Linked DNA regions of Alligator mississippiensis. The protein of the gene in region 2 interacts with the protein of the main gene of each other region in a biochemical or structural test. Links are inferred from orthologs where the notes say so. Each region holds a gene or a part of one and is shown on either strand. Other genes may lie near its edges.

Region 1 (3,905 bases), on a different chromosome or scaffold from region 2:
ATTAAGTATGTTGTGTGTTTGGTTTAATTTGAGCCTTCAAAACCATCATAACCTCTGGTCTTCAAATACCAACACAAACTTACTAACCTATCCAATTTTTTTTTTTTTTTTTTACAAAAAAACATACACAGGTCCTGGATTCATCCAATGACAAGCTTTTAGCTTCTGCTATCCTCCATTTGCATGTTAAATGACAAATATCTATTCAAAACATATATAAAACTCACTTTTCGTGGATGGTGCTAGCCTGATGGGAAACCAAGATCACTCTTGTCCTGATGCGTCACTCTTTGATGAAAATACTGTGTATGAAAATAGATTATTTTTAGAACCAGCATGTGAAAGCACAGTACTTCCTGTACTAACTCCACCTCAAGTTACATACCCTTTTTTTTTCTTTTTTAGTTTCTACAGCTAGTTTCTACAGCTAGCTTACAACTCTTATCAAACACAGTAGAGAGGATGAAGGAACAAACTGGGAGGAACTTGAAATGACAATTCCCTAACCTAAAACTCAGTACAAAAAAAGTTTTGTTAAAATACATTGTCCCTCTGAAAGCAGAAACGCCATCATTTTAATGACACCACTAGCCGTCATGGCTATGAATGGACTCTTAAATATTTTTTTTTATTTATAACACTGATCTTTTCCACAAAAACAGGATGCGAACATAGCATTCCCAGTATAACAAAGTCACTATAGCAACGTGACAGTGATGTCAGAATAATCAGAAAGGATTTCATAGTTCAGAGACAGTAAACCACACGATAGCTAGACAATTTAAAAAGTTGCAGACGCTGCGACAGCTCGTTTCTAAGTATTCTCGCTCAAACTCACTATTCAAAAGTCTGCGCCGTTTAATAGCGGTGCTGTCGTACACAAGTTCACCCTTCTCGGTGACTTTGGCCCTTGTTGTCTAGCAATCTCAGGAGATCCTAAACCAAAGATAACGGTCACCCATCTGAGGAGCTTGCCACCGCTGACTTGAGAAGCACTATTTCATTAATAAAGGAGAGCATTTTTAAACTAGCAGCCTTACAGATCATGGACAGAGCAACTCACAACCATGACCTTCCTCAACGAGCATAATGAGCTCAATTATACAAAACTGCTAAGGACCCAGAACATTTGGTGTCACATTTTGGGACTCTGAACAACTAGGCACAAAGCCAAAACTGTAAACTATGGTTTTGGTTCAAACAACGAGAAAATAAATAAATCAATGAATCAATCAATCAAAGCACAAGCAAGAAGTCAAGCTATTCTAGTGGCCTGGAGCCGGGCCTGCTTTTTAGCATGTAAACTGCTGTATTTCTCACGTTAATGGAGATTACGGATGCAACAAAAAAAAAAACAAAACAACTATTTATACTATTTAGCGCTGTACTATTTGGTCTTATTTTATACCATTTCCAGTTCGTTCCAGCACGTGACTTAGACAAGGGAGACAGACAAGTCCTCTTCACTTTTGCTGCTAGTCCCTTTCAATTTGGGATTGCGCTAGCACAACACTGCCATGCCTCGTTTACAAACATCCCGAAGAAACAAACACCGAAACACCACCGAGCTCGAAACCTGCATCAAACATCCTCCCTAAACGCTGTGGTTCAACTTCCTAAACACAAAACACCCGCTAAGTTTATCACCAAACGTATCAACGGGAATCAGGTTTGCCGCAAGGAGGGCATCAATTCTGGAAACTTATATCCATCCATGGCATTACGGCAACGCGGACAACAAATGGAAAGACCGCGACCACGACCACGACGGCACGCTCAACCCTCTACCGGGAAAAGGTTTCCACGTCCCAGACGTGGGTCCAACACAAGGTTTAACACCAAAGCGGTCTGTCTACACTGCCGACGCCGCGGCGCGAGGGTCCTGTAGTTTTACGGCCAAACACGCCTACGCTGCAGGTCCGGCAGAAGTTTTTTTTGCCCCACTGCAGACGCCGTGCGAGGGTCCTGTAAAAGTTTTAGCACCAGAAACGAGCAGCCGTGCGAGGGTCCGGCGGAGGTTTTAGCACCAAGACGGGGTCCTTCAAGCCTGCGAGAAACCACCCGCACCGCAGCGGCCTTTCGAGCACGGCCCGCGCGTGCCCCCGCCACGCTCAGGTCGGGGACAGCTCGTGCCCCGAGGAAATGCCACAGCCCCTGCGCGCAGGGGAAGGGCTGGCTACCCACCCCAATAAAAACAAATAAAAGAGGGGTGGGAAACGGGTGGCACAGCGGCAAGGCCGGGCCCCTGCCCTCAACCCCCCCTGGACGCGCGGTATCGCAGGGGGGCCCACCGGCCCGGGGGTGCCCGGGGGGCAGGGGGAGCCGCCAACGGGCCCGGCCGCTCACCTCCGCGCGCCCGCTCCGCTCCGCTCCGCTCCTGCGCGCCGCGCCCGCCCGCCCGGCCGGGGAGGAGCCGGGGGCGGGCCGGGCCTGCGCCCTCCTGCCGCCGCCGCCGCCCCGCACCCACACACCGCCTTGCAGGGGCAGGGGCCGCGCCGCGCCGCGCGCTTTCCCCCTCACACCGCACCGCGCCGCGCCGGCGGCCACACGGGGAGCCACAGGCCCAGGCGCCGCCCCGTGAGGAGACGCGAGGCGAGGCAGGCCGGTGCCCCCACAGGACGCGGCGGTCCGCGCTGTGAGGAGAAGGGCGCCCAGGCGCGGGCCCGCCCGCCCTGGCGCGAGGCAGCCCACACACGGACAGGTGGAGGCGGATGATGGCGCCCTGCAACACACCTGTTTTCTCCTGTTAAAAAAAGAAACTCAAAGCCGTAGTGCTGTGCTAGTCGGAGGTGACACGTGCGCCTCCGGCTTCCCCGGAGCGGCGCGTGGCACCACACAGCGATGCCCCGGGCCTGGTGACACCGTCGCGGGGGCCACGCTCGCCCTACTAACGTGGTAGGGTCGTGGCGGACCCCTCCTTGCCACGAGCGGCGCTGCTCGGTCAAGCGGGGTCGTCCTGTCTCTTCGCAGGCCTGACCTGGCTTCCCCCACGGGACGCCCACGATTCCCCACCGCGCGGCACAGGTTTTTAATAACCCAGCGTGACGCTTGCCGCCATCGTAGGGATCGTTCTGCTCCAACGTGCTCTCCGTCTTTCGTCGTTCGTGTCGATTGGGACTGGGAGAGGATGCGTCTTTGCCTTCGTTGCTGGATGCACCGAAACCCTCTGTTTATAAACCCCAATGCTATAAACACGACACACGATAATAAAGAGGTGAATTTGCACCGACGTTTCCGGATAGGTAGGTCCGCGAAGGGCTGCGGAGCTGTGTGGTGACAGCCAGGGCAGCAAAGGAGATATTTTCCGTCCCTCGCCGTGTTAGAAGATGCGCTGACAGCTGGCGTGCAGGGAGCGACCCACCGTCCGCGTGGGATCTGGGGAAGTGGAAGTGTTAAGGCTCCCTGCTGAAACACCACGCCGCGTGGCATGCTGCCACGGGGCATAAAGTGAGGGGCCTGCTGCGACCACGCAACACCCGAGTGATCCTTTCAGCCCTCGAACGCTCACAACGGGAGCCGTGGAAGTAACCTGCACCCCTTAGCCTTGGCTGCACTCCAGGTGCAAAACATACCTGTGCTTTTCTGCATTGTCTGAATGTCAGCTGTGTTTGCAAGCAAGGCTCTGTTAGGAAACGAAGGCAGGCATTTAAAAAGAAAAAAAGGCTGCAGCTGATGAAGAATATGACTGAAGTTGTACACGGTCTTAAAATTGTTTGATCGTGCAAACAGACACTGCAAGGACTTGAAAGGGGAGGATAATAAGGCTTTGAAGGAAGAGATGATAAATGGCTTTCTTTGTTAGCACGAGGCAATTCAGAGCTCGGGGAAAGACTTCTCAGTTCTCGAGGGTTTGCCGTCTCCTCTCGCCCTAAAGGTTGTCCCTCGAGCTCAGGTTTGGCTCCCTG
Region 2 (3,905 bases):
TTTTTTTTTTTTTTTTTTTTTTTTTTTTTTTTTTTTAAGATTTGGCAGGGACGCAGGAAAGTTTAACAGTTTGCTTCATCTGGCAGAATCTACAGCTGTCACAGTAGAAGTCCTGTCTCTCGTAGCTTTGTCTGACGGCGCATGACCTGATTGACTGGTTTCTGAGCAACTGCCAGTCTCCCCGCTGCTGACCAACTGACAGCCTTTTGATAATCTTCTCCAAGATCTGACAGCGTCAGACTCCCATTACGGGAATTTAAGCTTCCCTAAGTGTGGGAGCTCTTACTATGCGTTTACAAATAGTAGCTTTCTCCGATAATGCCACCGTCTCTCTTTAATTTTAAGCATAAGTAACTGACTCTGAAGCAAAGGCTTTCACAGAGGCTCCAACATCTGAAACAAGTAATTGACATTCAAAAAGGAAGGTCAGGCAAGGACACAGGAGCAACTTTAACACAGCTGAAATAAAATACGATCTAGAATGAGTGGAGGGAAAATTAGTTCACTTCCCTCTGCTCCCTACTCCCCCTCCCCCCACAAAAAATTAGGGTACCACTTCAAAATGTAAGGATATGTCTCTGTACTTTTCCACAGGCAATTTCACTTTGCCATATGTATTCCCTGAGATGAGGATAAAACACAGCGTTACAAAAATAACTTCACTGAAGTAGGAGGAAGGATTTCTAGATCCAACTTACTTTGAAGTTTTCTTCGCCCCCATTTTGAAATGTCAACAGCCAACCAGAACCTTGCCAAAATCAGGAGTAACCACGGTAATGAAAAATAAAGCTTCTTGCTAAAACCAGGCCATGCCGAGTTGTCAGAGAAACGGGATGACTCTTTAGAATTAGGACAGATGGCACTACTACAACTGTAACGAGCAGAGCAACTCCTTGAATCATTAGCTATTGAGCTGCAGCTTGACCTGGGGATCCGTATAAAGGGTATTTGTCTTTAAACAGTTGGCAGCAACAGCCCCTCCAGCCAGTCCCTTCTGCAGAGCATAAGACGCTCTTATCACTTAACAAGCCTCCCCCCCCCCCCCCAAAAAAAACCAAAATAGAAATACAGAAACATTTTGACATTTTGTCGCCCTCCAGCCTCCCAGGTTCATTGTTTCTAACGCTCTAACAGCTCTTAATCCTGCACACGCACGCACACACACCCCACCACATTGCTAGTTGTGCTTTGAGGTGGTCCTGCAGGGGTTGGACTGTGTGCGATCTCCTGAAGTCCCTTCCAACCCTCATTTTCTACAATTGTACGAACCTTTTACTTATCCCGCAACCAAAACTCCCCCAGATGAGCCTGATGCACATATTTAAAAATACAAAAAAAAAAAAAGGATCTTTGTGTTTTTAAGTGTGCAAGAACTTCACCCTACTTCGCAGGTGGCAGCGATTGGCCCCCCCCCAAAAAAAAAAGAAGCAAAAAACCCCTTAACTTCACTAGAAAGTCACAGGATAGGAACTGTTTTAGAGAGACAAGTAGAGGCACCAAGTTAAATTCCATTTCTGAATGGGATGCCTGGAGAGGAAGGAAAGGAACCTGAACTCAGCTCCAGGGCAGTCTTAGACACCCTGGCGCCGGCCTGTGAGACCAGGGTGAGAAAGAGAGGCACAAAGCAATGTTTTGGTGCCAACTAAATATCCACAAATTCTGCCTGGCAAGGATATATATACAAATAACACCCCCTAGTCAAAGAAGGGGGACTAGACTCCATGATCCTTCAAGGTCCCTTCCAGCCCATAATGTCTATGATTTGATTTCTTATGATATTAAAAAAAAAAAACAAAACCCTCACTATTTGCACTGAGCAATGGTGGCATGGAAATGCTACCCGGGGTGCCAGAGCAAAACTGGACTGCCCGCCCTGCCATGCTAGGGTGTCCCTTTAGACAAACCACATGCAGGCACTCACTCACTCCTTGACCCAGGACAAGACACCATTTCAGGGGAGCTCTTGAGCGTAAAGTGACAATGTTTCACAAAAGCAGGACAGTGGGCAGTGGGCTGCGGTGGGTGGGTGGGTGGGTGTCGGGTCCGTGCCGTGCCAGGGCTGAGGGGAGGGGAGGGTGCCGGGTCCCTGCTGGCCGGGGAGGGTGCCATGCCAGAGCGGAGGGCAGGGTGCCGGGTCCATGCCGTGCCAGAGCGGAGGGCAGAGGCGGCCGGGGCTGAGGACAGTCTCGCAGGGAGGTGCAGGGCACGGCCGGGACAGAGCTGCCCCTGCCCCGGGCAGGGTGACCCCCGGCCCCCCGGACGTCCCTTCCCGAGACGGCGGCCGACAAAGCGGTGCCCGCCCGCGCGGGGGAGGCGCAGGCCGGGGCAGGTACCTGGGCGCTCCTCTCGGCCGGGTTCTTCATCACCGCCTGGCGGAAGCTGTTATCCACGTAGGAGGCCATGGCGCGGCGGCGGCGGCTCGTGCTGCGCTGGCCTGAGGGAGGCGGCTGCCCGGCGCTGGCGGGCGGGCGAGCTGGCGAGCGCGGGGCGGGGGGAGCGGCGGCCCCGCGGGCTCAGCAGCGCCGCCGCCCGGCAGAGGGCGAAGGCGGGCGGCAGCGGCGGCTCCCCGGGCCGCTCCCCTGATGCTGCTGCTGCTGCATCCCGCAGCCCGGCGCTGCCGCCCGGGGCCGGGGCAAGGACGGGCCGCGGCTCAGGCGCTCACGGGGGAAGCGGCCTCCGGGGCTGGTCGCTTTGTGCTGCAACCATGGTGAGGCAGCGGCGGCGGCGGCGGGGGAGGGGCGGGGCGGAGCGGGGACGGGCCGCCTCGGGCCCCGCCCCCGCCGGGCTCTCTGCTGCCCCCGCCGCGCTCCGGGCGCCGCGAGCGGGAGCAGGTGGCTGCGCAGTCCCCGGGCGCTTTGTGCCCCCTTCCACCAACGGTGACCCGGGCCGCTCTGGCCTCGGCAGCCCCCCGCCGGGGTGACCCCTGCCAGGTCCTCCTGGGTCGCCAAGTGGCGCTGGAGCCGTGAGGCACTGGTGTCGGCGCTGGGGGAGAGTAGGGAGCAGGCTGGGGCTTGAAGGGGTTGTCCCTTGTTAGCCTGGTCCAGGAGCCAGTTTCCTCAGAAAGGCCCGGTCTTAGTCCCGGTTTCTGGCCCACATATTTGACCTGCGGAAGGTTTGTCCCACACAGAGCCAGCAGCAATACAAGCCAAGGTGCAAATAACAAACACGAGTGCAGGCAGGCCTCGACTTACAAGGTTTCGCATTACAACGAATGGCACGGACAACATAAATTGACACCCTGTTTTGACTTCCTGACATTGGTTTCAACTTTGCGACACGATGCCACCCCAGCGAACAAGTTCACTGCGTCGCCCATCTCCCTGGAGAACATCTGTCCAAACATCTTTGGGCACTTCCTTTAAAAAAGCAGACAAAACTCCAGCAAAACCTGCAGCCTTTAGCAACCCGTAGGGGATGCATACAGGTACATGTGCTCCCCCCAAATCAGTCATGCACCCCCTGGAAGCACCAGCTGCAAAACCAGAAGTGCACTTCTGGTTTCACTGCTGGCTGGGCGATTGGCCACTGCTGGGGGACCAGCCCCTCGGTTGGCGAATGGCCACCACTGGGGGACCCCTCCCCCCGATTGGCAATCAGTCACCACTGGGGTCCCCGCCATCAGTGATCTGGTGCCCCTCAAGACTTGGGAGGCACCAGTCACCCATGCAGACTCCTGAGAAGACTCCAGCCAAGAGCCCTTCCAAAAGTCCAGCAAAGTCACCTCAAAGAAGTCCTTCCAAATCAGTATGATTGCTATTTACAAAATAAAAACATTAATGTAGCTATATTACTCATCTATAATTGATTGAGTACAAAATTCTGGGTTATTTTTGGTGAAAATAGGGTCTCGGGCCTTGGTTCAGGAACCAATCCCCCATTTATAACATTGTTAAAAAGCGGTACTG

Evidence for each region.
Region 1: the proteins of RAPGEF2 (region 2) and RAP1A form a complex in vitro, tested with the Homo sapiens proteins (2 studies listed by BioGRID and IntAct, with this or other methods). The link is inferred for Alligator mississippiensis from reciprocal best matches to the Homo sapiens genes RAPGEF2 and RAP1A.

Annotation. Positions count from the first base shown.
Region 1 is NC_081837.1:43,910,747-43,914,651, reverse strand, and holds the start of RAP1A (ras-related protein Rap-1A), read right to left. Parts: upstream 2,441-3,905; 5' UTR 2,347-2,440; intron 303-2,346; 5' UTR 228-302; intron 1-227. UniProt on the Homo sapiens protein: Counteracts the mitogenic function of Ras, at least partly because it can interact with Ras GAPs and RAF in a competitive manner. Together with ITGB1BP1, regulates KRIT1 localization to microtubules and membranes.
Region 2 is NC_081825.1:91,064,807-91,068,711, forward strand, and holds the start of RAPGEF2 (rap guanine nucleotide exchange factor 2), read right to left. Parts: upstream 2,716-3,905; 5' UTR 2,403-2,715; coding exon 2,334-2,402; intron 1-2,333. UniProt on the Homo sapiens protein: Functions as a guanine nucleotide exchange factor (GEF), which activates Rap and Ras family of small GTPases by exchanging bound GDP for free GTP in a cAMP-dependent manner.